Drosophila melanogaster: one gene and its partners. The protein of the gene in region 1 interacts with the protein of each later gene in a pairwise test. Each region holds a gene or a part of one and is shown in the gene's direction. Other genes may lie near its edges. The genes, in order: Nulp1, CG8840 and Dip-B.

The links.
Region 2: the proteins of Nulp1 (region 1) and CG8840 interact in a two-hybrid assay, tested with the Drosophila melanogaster proteins (one large-scale study listed by BioGRID).
Region 3: the proteins of Nulp1 (region 1) and Dip-B interact in a two-hybrid assay, tested with the Drosophila melanogaster proteins (one large-scale study listed by BioGRID).

What each region holds. Positions count from the first base shown.
Region 1 is NT_037436.4:8,108,109-8,114,302, forward strand, and holds Nulp1 (nuclear localized protein 1), read left to right. Parts: upstream 1-2,259; 5' UTR 2,260-2,390; coding exon 2,391-2,546; intron 2,547-2,621; coding exon 2,622-2,998; exon of another isoform or gene 2,999-3,069; coding exon 3,070-3,936; intron 3,937-4,003; coding exon 4,004-4,330; intron 4,331-4,385; coding exon 4,386-4,606; intron 4,607-4,673; coding exon of another isoform or gene 4,674-4,687; exon of another isoform or gene 4,688-4,903; coding exon 4,904-5,064; 3' UTR 5,065-5,298; downstream 5,299-6,194. Other genes in the region: Sarm (sterile alpha and armadillo motif), read left to right, coding at 531-615; fan (farinelli), read left to right, coding at 1,170-1,826; Arp3 (Actin-related protein 3), read right to left, coding at 5,848-5,943, 6,005-6,088, 6,149-6,194.
Region 2 is NT_033779.5:3,408,220-3,412,215, forward strand, and holds CG8840 (uncharacterized protein), read left to right. Parts: upstream 1-2,340; 5' UTR 2,341-2,470; coding exon 2,471-2,887; 3' UTR 2,888-2,980; downstream 2,981-3,996.
Region 3 is NT_033777.3:13,779,801-13,786,569, forward strand, and holds Dip-B (dipeptidase B), read left to right. Parts: upstream 1-2,487; 5' UTR 2,488-2,651; intron 2,652-2,839; exon of another isoform or gene 2,840-2,894; 5' UTR 2,895-3,027; coding exon 3,028-3,041; intron 3,042-4,016; coding exon 4,017-4,293; intron 4,294-4,360; coding exon 4,361-4,459; intron 4,460-4,516; coding exon 4,517-5,653; 3' UTR 5,654-5,876; downstream 5,877-6,769. Other genes in the region: CG42375 (uncharacterized protein), read left to right, coding at 43-204; CG9288 (uncharacterized protein), read left to right, coding at 224-868; CG9286 (uncharacterized protein), read left to right, coding at 1,254-1,376, 1,438-1,564, 1,624-2,267.

The sequences.
Region 1 (6,194 bases):
ATACTATATCATCAATCGCATGTACCGATATTATACGTTTTGTTCAATGTTTGTATTGCGTTCTGCATTTGAATTTGTGTTTGTGCCTTTAATGGAATTCGAAATGTTTTATTTGTATATATCTTATCACTTTTATTTCTTCCCTCTTTCTTTCTCTATATCCGGACTTTTTTGTAGACCATAAAAGCGAAATTGGCTACCGCAATCCGTTGTAACTGTTGTTATCGTTGTGCCTGTTGTACTGCCCCCGCCCACAAAAGCACCCACCCACCAAATCGAATCGATTTCGATTTCGAAAAACCCATCATCGCACACCGTGAGATTAATACGATGCCTACACTCAGCATCCGCCGTCTCGACAACCAACATTCATTGTTATTTATTACCAAGCAAGCAACAAAAAAAAGAAAGAAAGCAATCAAAGCAAATAGCGATACCAATAAACGTGTATATAATTGCATAAATCGAAAGAGTCCTGTCAAACATTTTTTAATTTGTATCTTACCCATACCTCCTCCCACTCGAAACAGCAACGAAATGGAGGACGAGGAACTTTCGGGCATCATTCTGTCCAAGGCCACCTCCCCCAATGCCGGGCGCATGATATTTTGGTAAATGATGGACCATCCCCCACCTGACACACATTCAGTCACACAAACGTATCGAATTTTTGTAAATATTTAATAAAACAAAAAACAAATAAAACGAACGATCTGAAACTCGAAATCATGTTGTTATCTAAACATCTTGAACTTACAAATACAAAAAACTACAATTTGCAAAAGTTCTAAAAAGTTTTTGAACATTATTTAAAGACAGGTTTGTATATAATTTATGAAATTAGCCTAAAATATAGCTTTTAAGACATTCCTTTAAGCAACATAAGCTAATAGCTGCAATCTATAATAGTGATGCTGCGCATATGACTTTCAAAACCGACCAGTGTGTCCACACCAGAAAAGTTGAATTCATACGAAATCAAGCAATATGTGAACTCAATTCAGCCCTGAAATGGAAAGTTTCACATTCCTTTTTCTGTCATTTGCACTACGGCATTGTCAGGGAACGTGTTCATTTGGTACCACATTTTTTCATATATTGGTCATAATCGGTTCCAGTTCATATCGCTTCCGATTTTTTGAAAAATAAAAAGGTACAAATATTCCAATATGTCCGACAATACCGAGAGCAAACTTGCGCTAGACCCGTGCGATGTGATCGTCTTTGAGGGACCATTCAACCGCTCGGTGAGCAGGAAGCTAGTCATCAAGAACACCAGTAAGACCCAGCGAATGGCCTTCAAGATGAAGACCACCACTCCAAAACTTTTTTATGTACGCCCCAACATCGGTGTCTTGGGGCCCGAGCAGAAGGTCAGCGTTGACATATTCATGCAGCCAATTCTGCAGGAGCAGATAAAGAAGCGTCATAAGTTCCTTCTCCTGGCCGCCGAGGTGACTGGTGACATAAGCGATGTGCAGGAGTTTTGGAAGATGCAGAACCCGAATGAAACTCGGGAAACCAAGATCAAATGTGAGCTAGTCCCTTCGAAGGAGGACGATTTCCGTCAGGCGGGAGGTTCAGCTGTAATATCCACGGACAACAAGGACGGAGAGGTCCATTTTGATGCCCAGGAAGTCAGTGAGCCAATGGCCAAGTTGCTCAAGCAAGTCAGCATGCTGGAGGACGAGCATATGGCCCTCACAGACCAGATCGACGGCTTGCGTGACCAGGCGATTGGGCGCACTTTCTTCTACATGGCCGCCATAGTAATCATTATACTGTCCGCTGTCGCAGGCGCCTATTATGGCAAGACTCGTTTGTAAATTCCTTATCATGGCAGTTTTTAGAACATAAGGCAGTAAATTGCACCGAAATTGTACGAAAATTATTTGTCAATAAAGGACATTTTGGTTGCATATTCTATTTTGAGATAGATAATTAGTTTATGCTTGTATACCAATAAATGCGTAAGATGTTATATTCTCACTTTACTAGAAGTAAATAAGTTTAAAATAGGAAATGTCGAATAAAAATAAATTTTTTCAAAACAATTTAAAATGCTTTTTCCTATTTCACTTTATGAAGAGACAAAAAGTAAACTTATTAAAATTTCTGTGAATAACACGTCAAGTTTGATCCAACTTCTACAGGCAAGGCGTATAGGTGTATAGCACTTGCTAAAATTTAGAACTTCTTTTTCAATTCCCGCCAAGACGGGACCACCTGTCTAGGCCAGTGCTGTGAAGCGCGCGTGGCCACAGAGCTCGGCAACCCTGCAGCCGTGCGAAAGCGAATGTGGTGAAGAAAAAAAAAACAGCGAAATACACACGTATTTTGCGACGAAATTAAATAGAATTCCTGCTAAGGGGTATAAGGACACTTGAAGGATGTCTGCGCGAATGCTGAAGAAGCTGCAGGGCGACGCTGACAAGCTGGCGCCACCGCCCGATGACGAGGACTGCGAGGAGCTGAGCGACAATGATGAACTGGAGGACAGCGATATGCAACGCTATCGAAAATCACACCTTAATCCATTCGATTTGGTAGGCCGCTATTAAAAAATAGCCAGCTCATCACCGAATGAACTGCATAATCCTCCGTTCCCACAAATTTTCTAGCTCAATCAAGCCGGTTTGAGTCTCTCGGAGAGTGAGTTCAAAGAAGATGACAATGAAACGGAGCATCCGTCTGCTGCCCTGCCCAATGCTACTGCCAGTGCGGCCAAAAAGAAGAAAAAGAAGCGCAAGAAGAAGGCCAAGTCCAGTGGGAATCACATCAGCAGCGAAGATAACGAGCGTCAGGATAAGTACTTTGAGAAGGTGGATCCGCTCCTTGGCAAGGTCTACGATGCGGTGCCCAGACAGTCGGCGAAACAGTTGGTATCGGCTGCCACCGGGACTACTGCCACCAAGAAACTGCTGGCCGTAGAGCTACGGCACCTGAATCCACAGAACGAGATGCGTCGCACTTTTGGCAAGCGGGTGGTAAAAGTGGAGTAAGTTTGGAGTGCCTGGGCTAAGAACTTCCATTCTGAAACTTAACTCTTGCAATCAAACTTTCTTTCAGAACCAAGCGTGGCAGGCAGAAGCCCACGCTGAAGTCCACCTATATGGTGACCGCCAAGGATTCGTGGCCGGCACTGACTAAAAACACCATCACGATGAAGCTGCTGCCCGCCCCAGACTCTCCATCGGTGTCCTCCAAGTCTATCACAGATAATGGAGCGGACGTTCAATGGTTTGCCTTTGAGCATAGCCAATACTACCAGGGAGTGCAGCAAATGTTCCTTTCTGCTCTCGAGCGCATTGACTCGGAATTTCTGATCACACTTATCAAACGCTGCCCCTATCATGTCGACTCCTTGGTTCAACTCAGCGAAGTATGCAAGATGACCGAAGACTTTTCCTTGGCCTCCGAACTGCTTGAGCGCGCCCTTCTCCTTCTGGAATCGTCGCTGCACATCAACTTCAGTTTGACGTCGGGCAACTGCCGACTGGACTACCGGAGACAGGAAAACCGATCCTTCTACATCGTGCTGTTCAAGCACGCGCAGTACCTGGAGGAACGAGCTTGCAGCCGCACCGCCTTCGAGATCTCCAAACTGCTCCTGAGTCTTCAGCCAGACACAGATCCTCTTGCCATGATTCTAGTGATTGACTACTATGCCTTGCGCAGCAAGCAGTTTGAATGGTTGGTAGAGTTCTATGAAAAGTATAACGCCGCGAGGAACCTCAATCAGCTGCCCAATATGGCCTACTCGTATGCTTTGGCTCTACACACGCTCTATGGCGCTTGTGAACGCTCTAACCAGGCACTGCAATACGCCCTACTAATGTTCCCGGGTGTTTTACGTCCTCTTTTGGACGAGATGTCGGTGCAAACGGACAAGAGGGTCCTGGCCTCATCGTACTTCTTTGCAGATGTGTCGGGCAAGTAAGTGGAGTCTTATCTCCGTGAATGATTAGTGGTATGGAATTTAATGTCTTATCTTGTTTACCAGTCAATCGCCCGCCCTGCACCAGCTGGTGTGCCTGTATGTGTGCCGTGCAAGAGTCGTTTGGCGTCAGAACGAGGTGCTACCCTGGTTGGAATCCAACGTGAACATAGTGTTAGATCGCATTGAGAGTAAGGATCCCCTGGTTAATGAGTACAAGGAGAAGCGATCACTGCGATATAGTGGAACACCACCAAGGCCCATTCTTCGACATGTCATACTCTCCGATTACAAGGAGAAAGTTCCACTGGCGGTCTTCGTGTCCAAGGAGAAGCAAGCCATTATGACCTATGATCCACTGCCGCCACCGAACAGCGTCAACTGCTATCATCGGTATGTCGTTCGAATCGGCTCAAAGTTAGTAAATTCTAAAAACCAGTACTTGCAGAAAATCTTCGTCAAGCAGCAGCCCCACAACGAACACGAACAATTCTGTGTCAATGTTCTTTCAATCGCTCTTGCCTTCGTTTAACATTAACAACCTAGCTGCAAATGCTCAGCTACAAGAAGGAGCAGCACCAGCAGCAGGTGCGGGAGCAGCTGCAGGCGATGCTAACATTGAAGTGGGCATTGAACAAGGAGCTGCCGGCGTAGCTGGCGAAGGAGAAGGTTCGTATGAGCATTATTAAAAATATCTTGAGATAAAACCGATTTTGTCGCCCCCGTTTCGTCACAGAGCATGAATCTTAGAATATGTTTCGCTGGTTGTATTATGGCTTTGCTTAATTTCGTTCATATCCCGAAATTGTATTAAAGCTTTGGCTTTTGTTTCAATAACTTGGCTAAAAGCGATATTTTGTTTCTCATTCTTAAAATCGTCAAAAATCTAACCTAAAATTATGCTGAAATTCCAAAAGAATCGCTAGCGGATATCGTAGTTACACTTCTCCTCCAACATTATTGCAGAAGCTGGTTTGCAGCAGTCATTAACGCTAATGATGGACGCGATGCGAGACTTCCTGCAAAACTTCCGGATTGCAGAGCACTTGCGTTCGCCGGAAACGGCGGCGGCACAATCCACGAGCAGCAACGACGAGGAGGAGGGCTCCAGTGACTACATTGACTAGTCAGTTTGTCAATTACGCGAGGCGTAACGAAGTTGTTTCGGATTTCTAGCTCGGGACATGTTTTTTGGAAACCACCTTTTGCTATTTTCTCAGCTTAGCGACACCGTCACAAAATTTATATATACAATACATAGAGCAATTTGAACACAAAAAAATATATATATGTAACTTATGCATTGAATAAAATTTTCCAGTAAAAGCTTTAGATCGAAAGCGACGAAAGTGTTTGAGCTTAAAGAATGTTTTATTGATTTATTTAATGCCTTTTTAATTACGCTTATCAATATAACAAACAGATTTCTCATCAATATTTCTTTTCGTTTTTCCTTTTTTGTTCATTCAGTGTTTGAATTGGTTGCAGTTATTGCAATTATAAATATTTCTATGACAAGTAGAGCGTTTTCGTATTTAATTGTGTATAGAGCCGGGATTTCTCCAAGAGCTTAGATCGGTGTGACTGTGTGTGATCGTGTTTGAGTATGGTATAAAAGTCGACTTCTAGAAATAATGCACCTTAGATAGGGGGTTGAACTGGCAGACATCGGAGTTGTTGCTTTATAGTTAGCCTAACAAAATCACACGAAATTAAACAGAACGAAACTGATTTACACAGAGTTAATAGCTAAACACATATAGAAAAGAATAATTACTAATACTTTAGCGTGGAATACCGAATCGCAATGTATATATATATATATATAGTTGGAGAATAAATCAATAAATCAATTTTAAATGGAAAAATAAATCAAAAATAACTGCTGCAAGCCGATTGGATCGGATCAATTATGTCATGGTGCCAAAGACGGGATTGTGACGGCAAATGCTGGGGCCATACTCCTCGTAGGCAGCCTTCGTGTGACACACCTGATAGAACTCGGGCTAGAAATGGGAAGAATATTGAGATAAAGGATTTTACGGATCTTAGGCCACTATAACTTACCGTTGAAGCCAACATGCTGCCTCCAAACCACACGGCGTACCTCTGCATGTGGTGCGTAATCACCTGAACATCAATGGGTTTTGGCTGTAACAAAAATAATCAAAGTAAGAAGTATGACTCATTAGCAGCTGTGATATCACCCACCTTAATGCGTCCCTCGGACAAATTCTCGCTGATCCGGAGACGTGTG
Region 2 (3,996 bases), on another chromosome or scaffold:
GAAAAATTTTCCGCAGTGCAGGAAGGGAATGAAAAGGGTTTGGTTCTCGTGCAGGCTTACGGCAAAGTTTCTCTAAAGTTTCAGCCCGAAACACAACAGACCAGAATGGAAAAGCATTGCGAATACTGTTCGTGTTTGCTTCAAGATTAATAATCTATAAATTGCAAATGTTGCCAGGAACTGAGAAACAAAAGCCCAGGCCACGACCACGACCCAGTTTAAACAATGTCCAAGATTCCTCGGCGACACTCGTTCTAAAATAACACGGAAAACCTTTTACAGAGCGGCCTGTAATATTTCCTGCCCAAAACTTTGAAAGCCTTTAAAAATAAAACAGTGTGGTTAGTAATTACGAAATGGGCGGCCTCTTTAAATTCCTTATAAATTTATTGGTTGAATAGCTAGCTGGTGCTGTTCTCCCTTAAGTAAGTCACAAAAAACCAGACCTGACAACTGTCGATAACCAAACAAAACAAAACGTAAGAATGTGTCTGGTTCTTTTAAAATACAGACAAAACAAGGACAAGAATGCCACACAGCAGACACAGAAATAGCCTTGAGACCAAGTCTTATATATAATACTCACTCCTATAAAGCCGAATAAAATGGATGGGTCGTCTCAGCTTGAGGACATTCAAAGTAAATAATTTATAATGGCAAGCTCGATGAAGCACGAAACATTTTAAATGGAAGAGCTGTCGAGCGAAATCTGGCGTGTCAAAGAAAGCTATGCATAAAAAGCACATTCAAATATAATAAAGGGTAAGCTTAGTGTTGAATACGCCTTCCAAATTTTCAGCTAAAAGGCAACATATTTCAGGCTAAGAAAGACCCATAAAAGCAGGCAACAAAGAGCCAGAAAAAAAAGTGGCTCCACTTAAAATTAAAATCACGCATACGCAACGTGCAACGCAAAGTGCCAAAGTCAGCTAAAAAAGAAAGGAAATCGCTTTCAATACGTTTGCCACACATAAATCAGAGTTAGAGGGCCGCCGATAAAGGAGCTTCTGACAAAACTCTTGACAAATAGATTCAACGCAAAAGGGCAATTAATAACCGACCGTGATATAAGGACCCTCTTCCAGGACCTCCTAAATTCGGTCACTGTTTAGCGGAGTGAAATGATTCATTTGTCAATTTAGCTGGGTCAGTTAGCCAGCCAAGTAGTTGTAAAAGGTTGGCTGCGTAGCAGATGTTGGATTCTTTGGATTTAACTGGCAGACCTTTTCAGACTTAAACGAAAATAAATGGATAGAGCTTGTTCCCTGTAATTATATTTACTTATATAGAAGGCCACATATCCCGAAAATAACTTCGTCTTGGCCTTGAAAATAATCGTTCGTAGAATTCGCTTTCAAAGCGTTCCGCCTTACATTAATATGGTTTCAATATCATGACCCCCTACTGCAACTCCTTAGCAGTTTCGCCTTCACATGTCAAACACTTCGAGGGTGGTGTCCTCATTTCTCGCATAGGCCACCACATACGCATTACGCATACGCAGCGTGAGCACTAAGCTTTAAGCCAACGGAAACGCTTTGTAATCCAGAAAATTGCAGCTGCAACCTTTGGTTAGTCGTATTGCCAAATGAGCCAGAGCTATTGTAATTAATCAGAAATCCGACTCAATTCGCTGAGTTATTTTTATCACAGAATGGTGGACGATAAAAATGCAAACTTTCCTCTCCATTTGCAAATTTATTTGTCCTTTGGGAAGAACAAGTCTCGCTGCAAATAGTATCTATTTATGGAAATCCTCGGGAGAGTAATGACTGGAAAATTATGCCACTGACGTCAAAAGGGAAAGACGAAACTTTTTGCCCACTCAAAAGGTCAAAGTCAAGACTCCAAATCAACTACTTGGCACTCATCAAATTCTAGTTTTCTGCGACTTGTTATTACAATTTGGCAAAAAAAAAAATAAAAAACTATCATCAACTTTGGCGTCATGCTAAACCAGAGCAACAAGTTGCTATAAATGGTCATCACTGGGTTTACTGCTCGAGTTCAATGTTTCCAGCCAAATTCAGATGAAAGAGCAAAGAAAAACGAATTGTTTTGAATTGAGTTCATAGCCATTGGATGGCATTGATTGTTGTTTTTTTGCTTGGGGTCACAGAGAAAATATGGAAATTGTGATACGATTTTATGGCGTTCTGATGAAGCTTGTCTTTATTTGGCCATTTCGATGATTTGTGAGCAAAGATAATAATCTGCGAATGGCTAACTCCATTAAATTGCTATAAATACTTAAAAGGATACCAATGATGCATTTATATATTTATGTAGATTTAAAGGAACTTTGTTTTTCAGATTATTTTTATAGCACAGCAGGCTTTGAATAGGATATCTGCCTGATTTCTACAGTATACCTTACTGTACTACATAAGACAATACAAAATACTTTCAAAATTAGTAAGATTTCTATTTGAACTCTGATCAAGTTCCGTACTTGCAGCTGAATTCTTTGATGGCTTCCATGGAGCTGACCCTGAAATCGGACTATTCCGCCGATTCTGTTATCGATGACATTATATCCAAGTCGCTGGCATCCCAGGCAGTTCCAAGGACACACAAGAGATCAACTCGCGTCTCCTTTCGATCCCTGGCCAAAGTTATAATGACTCTGATCGGAAACCTCAAGAAGGCATCATCATTTCATGAGGTGAAGGACATAGACTACTGGCGTAATCTGGCCGAGTCCCGTTTGGAGGTCAACAATCGCTATGGGAGGTTTATCGAAGCCCAGCAAAGGCGAATCTATACCCTGGAGACCAGGCTCCACAACCTGGTCAATTTGGCCCGCGAGACCCAGAAAATGCTGGCCGAGATTGGGGCCGAGAAGCGGGCCTGCGAGGAACTTGGCCATGGCGAGCACGCCGACTAGATTTAGCATAATTTAATACTTTCCGTCTTTCATAAACCAATGGTTTATACTAAATAGTTGGTATGTGAGTTAAATATATACAAATTGAAAATCAAGCGCAGTTTTGCTAGAATATTTGAGCAACTTGGGTTACTAAGTTGAGTGACAATTTTCCTACTTTCCTCTATTGCAGTCTCTCTGCAAATTTAATTTGCTTTTATAATCTCCTCCATAATCACTCAAGCCTAACCATTATTTGGTTTTATTCTGTTTTCTGTTTGTTTTGGGCGATAGTAGAGCGGCGATTTCTTTAATCTTCAGTTGGGTCTTCGTGTTTTTCCCACTTCTCCATGGTCTGGGTGTGTGCAGTCTTCCAGGTGAATGATTTTCACATCGAAAGAGCTCCTAACTGCATAATTTAGTAATTGGAACGTATCAAATTTAGTTTTCTCCCATAGAGCATGCAAGAAAATGCGAAGAGGCGATTGGACCAAACTTTATCATTTATTGCAATCTGTTTCGTGTTTTCCGTTTCTTTTGCTGCCTTACAAATCAGAGTTTATTTTTTTTTTTTGGGCGCCACTCCCAGAATCAAAAAAACACCAAAAAACAACAGAATTCAATTAAAAGTCTCTGCACGCCATTCGAAACCAAAAATATTGACATATGCCCCTTCCGTCGGCTGGCTGAAAAACAAGCCAACAATGTGACCATTGAACTCGAACCCAGATAGAAAATAGATATTGTTTATGCCACATGCCATCATGGGCCCAGAAATCTTGTTTTTCGTCTGTTCTCGGCCAGACGATTTGGCCCACTCTCAAGAGGAATGCCATAGAGTTTATTTACCAGAAAGTGTATCGAATTTCATTGGAATAAACGAAAAAACATTGCATTATTTTGCAATTTTCTGGTGTAATATCTATTACCCATTTTCCATAGTAGTTTCTGAACATAATTCCAAGAAATGTGGTTTTGAACTTTTAAAAATATCTCTTTTTGTTTTCTCAAATTGCTTACCAAGTTCACTCAAGTCTTTAATGATTGAGTATGAAATACGAGCTGGTTAATTTTCCAACGCATCGTAAACAAAGAAGATTTCCATCTATTTTGACATTAATGATATTTTG
Region 3 (6,769 bases), on another chromosome or scaffold:
ATTTTATTTTATAACCGGGATTTATGCGAATTCTGCTTGCAGAACGCCTTCGCAAAATTTGTGGGCGTGTGCAACTCCATTGACGACAAGGTGGTCAAGTGCCTAAAAGGCGAGAGAATCGCCCGATCCGCCGCTAATCGCGCCAAAGCCCGTGAACGTCAGGCGAAGTACAAGGAAAAGTTGCTCCAGCAGGAAAGTAACTAAAGGAAAGAAATCAACCAGGATGTCAGTACAAGCAGATGATCCACTGGAGCCATTCTACTTCGAGCACGAGGAGCAGGAGATCTGCGGGAAGCTCGTAGCTCCCATTACAGATAGCTTCCAGGAGGATTACCCCAGTGTTGTAGATCGTTTTTTCACCAGATATTACTACTTCAAGGGAGATGTTCCCTACCAAGTGCTCTACCACTCCAATCGCATTTGTCTGATTTGCCTGGCTCCCGAGCACCCTGCTCTAGCTCAAGGCATCTCATCGGTCAACTTTGATATAGGGAACGTAGATCGCAGCCAGAATGTGGTCAAGGGAAAGGGTAAAAAGGGCGGAATGATCCTACAGGCGGAGTCCACCTTGGCACTGCTCACCACAGCAAATGGAGGGACTTACAAGGTGCCCAGCTGCATTCGGGGCAAGCTGGTAGAGGTGAACACCGCCATTGTGGAGGAGCCAAAGCTTCTGGAGCAACTCCCCGAGGGAGCCGGCTACTTCGCCATTCTTCTGCCCAAAATCGAAAACTGCGATGCAATCAAGGCGAGTCTTTTAACCCAGGAGCAGTATGAGGAGCGCCTAAAATCGAAAAACGAAGGTCTACCTCAAATTGAGTCCACCGGGGACCACGCTCAAAACAAAAATAAGGAGATTCAGGCGTGATTTTGACCCTTGTTTTGTTGTGCTTCTTCTATAAGGCCTTTGTATTTTAAATTAATGATTCATACATATATTATATTGCTCAAAGTCAATGAGGACTTAAATAATAATAATTTTGACAGTAAACCACAAATAATATTTTCTGAAACTTGTGAATTTTGTTAATACTTATGGTCAAATGTAATGTCGGGTCTACTATTTAATTTCCAGTAAATTTTATTTCTTAACAGCCTGTTAACTCCGGTGCATTTACAGAACTCTGCCCACTTAACAGCACGCTCCGTAATAGTTGGCAACTCAATGCAACACGTGTGGACGATAAACAGCTGTTCGGGCGGCAATTTAGTGGAAGCGAAACAAAACCAAATTCGTTAACTAAATCTTAAAAATGTCAGCTAATAAGCAAAAGAAATTGAGTACCATGGAGGTGGACCCCAACGAGGATGTCTCCAGTTCCAGCGAGGATGATGACGACGACGAACCGCATCCAGATGCCTATAAGGGAAACGAGGTAATCTAAGTGCCTCCAAAATATGAAAAGCAAATGTGTTTCAAAATTAATATCCGGCTAGGAGGTGCAAATCGACTTTGAGGGACGAGCTCCAGTAGATCCCGATGCCCAGGGAATCTCTCAACTCCTGCAGCGACTATTCCTTCGTGCCCACATCAACTGCAACCAAATGGCGGATTTGATCATAGGTGAGCACTCCAAGGTACTATCTTGATCTATCTATCAGCACAACTTTTTTTGTTTCCAGCCCAAAATTTTATAGGCAGTGTGATCTGCCAGTGCGACGACGAGGGCACCGAAAGCGAAACGGAGGACGACAACATGGTCGAGGATGGCACCATCTTTGGAATCACCTCTGTGCTGAACCTGACCGCCAAAAAGGATCAGCCCAGCATCGCCCAGTTAAGGACCTACATACTGGATCGCGCCAAGACGCACGCTTCTCCGGAGGTTCAGCAGCAGTTGAAGGAGATTCTAGACAGCGAGCAGCGCCATGTGGGATTCTTGATCAACGAGCGCTTTATCAATATCCCTGCCCAGATCTCCGTGCCACTGCTGCAGAGTTTGCAGCAAGAAATCGAAGCCGCCAAGGCCAAGAAAATGAAATACGACTTTGGCACTCTGCTGCTGCTGGTTAAGTTCTACAGGAAAGAGTCGAAGAAGGGCAAACCGGGCGAGGACGTGTACACCAACGCTGAGGATGAGTTGCTTTCGGATCGGGCTAAGTTCTCCTTCGAGTATTCCATGGCCTCTGAAACCGATTCGGGCATGTCTGGCGATTGGCTGGAAGGCGATGCCGTGATGACGCCCTACAGGAAACTCCTGGTCCTGGAGGCCAAAAAACTTCCGCAGCTTATTGACGATATACAACGCTTTATTAATGGCGAATAAATATTTTTTACATTTAAAACTGCTGTGTTATTTGGCCTTAATATAACACCCCGACAAATATCTAATTAAGAAGTAATAATGTCCGGTCTCTAACGACCGATAAGCTTCTATTTCTTTGTAGTCCCATACAAAGAGTATCAAAAATTCGAACCGAAAGCTTTCCACATCCTTTATGACAATTGGCAACGCGGGCAAACCACAAACAGCTGTCACTTGGCCGGCATTTGAAAGCTTCGCACATGCCGGCTGGTCTACTGTGAAAAAAAAACCTGGTTGCCATTCCTTTGTTTTTTGCCACTGGTTAGTTTTGGCCCAGAAACTGCATCCACCGTGGACGTGACTGGCAAGAGGAACCCACAATAACAATTCCGAAGACCGAGCGACGTGAGTAGACTTTGCCTTTATTGTTTACAAGTTATATCCGAGTTCTAGAATTACGTACATAGCGAGCATACTGGCGATTATTCATCGCTCGTGCGATTTGTTTTCATTCGAAAACGCAAGTAGCAATTAAAAAAAAAAAACCTAAAGCCCGGCTCGCTAGTAAAATGTATAAAAAGCTTGGCCACCCAGCCAGAACATTGCAAATCGTCGCGGAGAGCTATCACAATCGCTCCTTATCGCCAGCTTTCCGTTCCAGATCCCGCTCCCAAGTTTCCAGTTTCCAGCTGCAGCGCTTTGTTCCCATCAGGGAGGTTCAGTGACGCCCCACTTGCCGATCAACCAAGTCGCGTGAGCTGCCTGCGAAAAAGTACTCATCATGGGTATCGAAAAGTGAGTATTTATTACCAACAGTTATTAGAGGGTGTGTTTTAAGTTAGCGCGGATCAGTTATCTAGCCACCGCTTAGCGACCGATTGGAAAAGCTCTCAAAGATTCGCCATCTTTTACAGTGAGGGTTAGTCGCTTAGCATCCATCAATTGCTATCTTATTTACCTTTCCCATAATTCCAAAACGAAATTAGAATGTTTTTAGTACTGCATATCTCAGCGTTTATCAGTTTTAATTAGTTGCCGGCAAGGAATAGATGTCATGAAAATTCCAAACTTTATCTTTTCCCAAAATAAAAACAATGTTTGGCGAAATACTGTATAAAAGTTAAAGGGGGGAGGTCACTTAATTTTATCATTATTACTTAGATAACGAGTTCTTGCTACTTCTGGAAACAGATATATATAGATCAACTTTTATTGTTTGATATGGGGCACTTCAAAAGATAACACAATTAAATGGTCAGCGACATAGGATTATTCTCCAAAATATTATAGACCCAGTTACCTAAGGATTGGTATTTAGTAGAAACACTTGAATAAGATTACAAATATTCTAAATAAGTACTTTAACACCATTTGTGCTAATACTTGGTACACTTGTTTCTAAATTGGAAATCGGTTTGTGATTATGGTCATTTCGAAAGCTTATCGCGATTCTTTATAGCACTTCGAGTTAAGATAAGCCCAGCGCCAGGAATGAGGGTAAACGAAAGGGGAACACACTGAAACATGGCCATGGTTGCTCCTAATACAGTGGGGACATTTTCTTTTGAAATAATAAATTGAAATACAAAGGCAACAGGCTGTTATGCAATATGAACGACTGCATCAGTTAATAAAGCAAATGTGACGTGATAAAATTCAATTCAATTAAACGCTATTGCACATTTAGTTGACACCCAGAAATGTTTCTTAATGAATACCAATAACGATTCCGTTGCGCACTTTAACTCTACTCTACGTGTGCCCCTCCAGAATTCTACCATGCACCCTCCGGCTGAACAAGCTGATGAGTCTGGCCGGCAACGACTGCCTGTGCATCATCGATCGCAATGCGGTTCCCAATGAACTGAAGGCCACCTTCGAGGAGCACCGCAAATTCGACAAGTCCTTCGACAGCAGCATATCCTGCTTTAAGGTGCCCAACGTGGATCAACCTGTGGTCTATGCCCCCGTCTCCGAGCTCACCGACTACGACGATGTGAGGAGCTACCAGGAGGCGGCCAAGCGGTCCATGGAGAAGGTTCTCAAGGTGGGTTTTTTTTTTCTATACATATTGTGTGAATTATGAAAGAAAATGTATATGTATTCTTTGCCAGGCTGGATTCCACACGCCGTTGCTGTTTGTGCCCAAGGTTAAGCGCTTCCCCGAGGTCGAACTCTGCACCGTTCTGGGAGCTCTGGAGCAGCTTTATGTGGTAATATGGATTATGTTTACTTTTATTTCAATCAATGTGCTAAAACACGTTTTTTAGCCCATTCAATTGCGCGAGGCAGGAACTTTGAAGGACCCCCGTGTGACCACGCTCAGTGTCCAGATCGATGATCCAAGGGCCGAAGCTATTTTCCAGGAAGCTCTCATTCTGGAGGCCGGTCGCTTTGTGGCCCGCGACATCGGAGTTGGGGACCCGGAGCGCATGACGCCCATCCAGGTGGAGAAGTACATCAAGCCGTTGTTCGACAAGCTCAACGTGAATGTGATCAGTGACACCCAGGTGTTGCAGAAGGAGTATCCCCTGTTTGCCGCCGTAAACCGGGCTGCTGATGCAGTGGAGCGTCATCGTGGTCGCATCATTTTCCTGGAGTACAAGCCTCCAAAGCCGGCGAGAAAAACTCTGATGCTGGTCGGCAAGGGTGTTACCTATGACACCGGTGGTGCTGACATCAAGGCCGGTGGTGTGATGGCCGGTATGTCGCGCGACAAGTGTGGAGCGGCTGCTGTCGCTGGATTCATGCAGGTGGTCAGTCAACTGCAACCGGATGATATCCATGTTGTGGCTGCCCTGTGCATGGTGCGCAATTCCGTGGGCGAGGAGTGCTACGTGGCCGATGAGGTTATCACCTCGCGAGCTGGTCTTCATGTGAGGATTGGAAATACTGATGCCGAGGGTCGCATGTGCATGACCGATGCCCTGTGCCGCATGAAGGAGTTGGTCGTGGAGCAGAATCTCCCGGATCCGCATCTTTTCACCATTGCCACCTTGACTGGTCACGCCTTCATCTCGGCAGGTGAGGGTCAGTCGATTGCCATCGATAACAGCGTGGCCCATCGGGAGGATCACGCCAGAAGACTGCAGGCTGCTGGACAGGCCTTCGGAGAGCCCTTCGAAGTGTCCATTCTCCGTCCCAGTGACTTCTCTTTTAACGCTGGAAAGGTGATTGGCGAGGATTTGGTGCAGGCCAATAATGCCCCGTCGGTGAGGACTCCTCGCGGTCACCAGGTGCCCGCCGCCTTTATGATTAAGGCTTCTGGACTGGACAAACACGGGTTGGATTCAATGCTGCCCATTAAGTACACCCATATTGATATCGCCGGCAGTGCCGGTGAGCACCCAGCGATGCCCACAGCTGCCCCTCTTGTTTCCCTGGTGAAGACCCATCTGCAGAAGTAAATCATGTCCACCTAATATTCAGGAGGATGTGTACACGATCACCACAAACAGTACTTATACACCCACGTGCTTAGCTAACCAACAATATTATCCTACTAACTGCATCACTGTTTTTTAATAAAGGCAAAACCGAGTTCAGATTGTATTCATAAATGTATGTCACTAATTTGGTAATCGTTTACAAATAAATGTGAAAATGATTTGTTTTTTTCCTTAAGCTTACAAAGCAAATATCTCATTATATTCATCAACATGGAAATATAAACATTATATCATCCCATTATAGAGAATAACCACCCTACATATATTTGTTAAGTATACAAGAAAGCCGCGTGGGTATTCGGTCTTTTTTATTTCTTTTTTATTATTACTGCATTTCCCAGCTGCATTGTTTGCATAATTGGCGGGTGCCCTGCATTTCGAGCTCTTGTTGGCCATCTACGGTATGGCTCGTACTCCTGCTCTTCCCCTTTCGCAGCCTTTTCTCTTCAGCTTTGCAGCGCCTTCTTTTTTTGTAGCTTGGCCCACAGCCTAGAACCCGTTAGTCGCTTCTTGGCCATGCTCTTCGCTTTGGGCCCCGTTCCCGGGAGCTTGGCCCAGCAACTTGGCGTGGATTGGCTTGGTTGGGGGATGGGGATGTGGATGGGGCCCGCTTGTCAGCTGTCGCATGTGTCTTGGTACCGTTATTGCCTGGCTTTGGAAACTCGGTCAAGAGTGTCTCATTCATGCTGTGATTGCATAATATACCGTTGGCTCCCGTTGGCCTTCTTCTGGCTTCTGACTGCGGCCTCTTCCCGTTCTTGGCCGTTCTCCCGTACCAATACCAACTTGGTTCCAACCTCTTTCTCCATCTGCGATGGGTGCGCTTCTGGGTAATTTATTGACAGTCACACTGGCCACTTTTGGTCATCTGGCCAAGTCGGAACACTTGGACTCTGACCGGGCTAACGGTACTTATTATTGATGAACGCAAAAGTCTTTTTCGTTGACTTGTCTCCCATTTACAATCCGTTAGTGTGAATTTATTGCCAAGGCGGCACGAACCAAGAAGAAGGCCTCAGCAGCAACAGAAGTGGGAGAAAAGAGGGAAGATCTCTGGTCTTGGGAGGCTTTCTG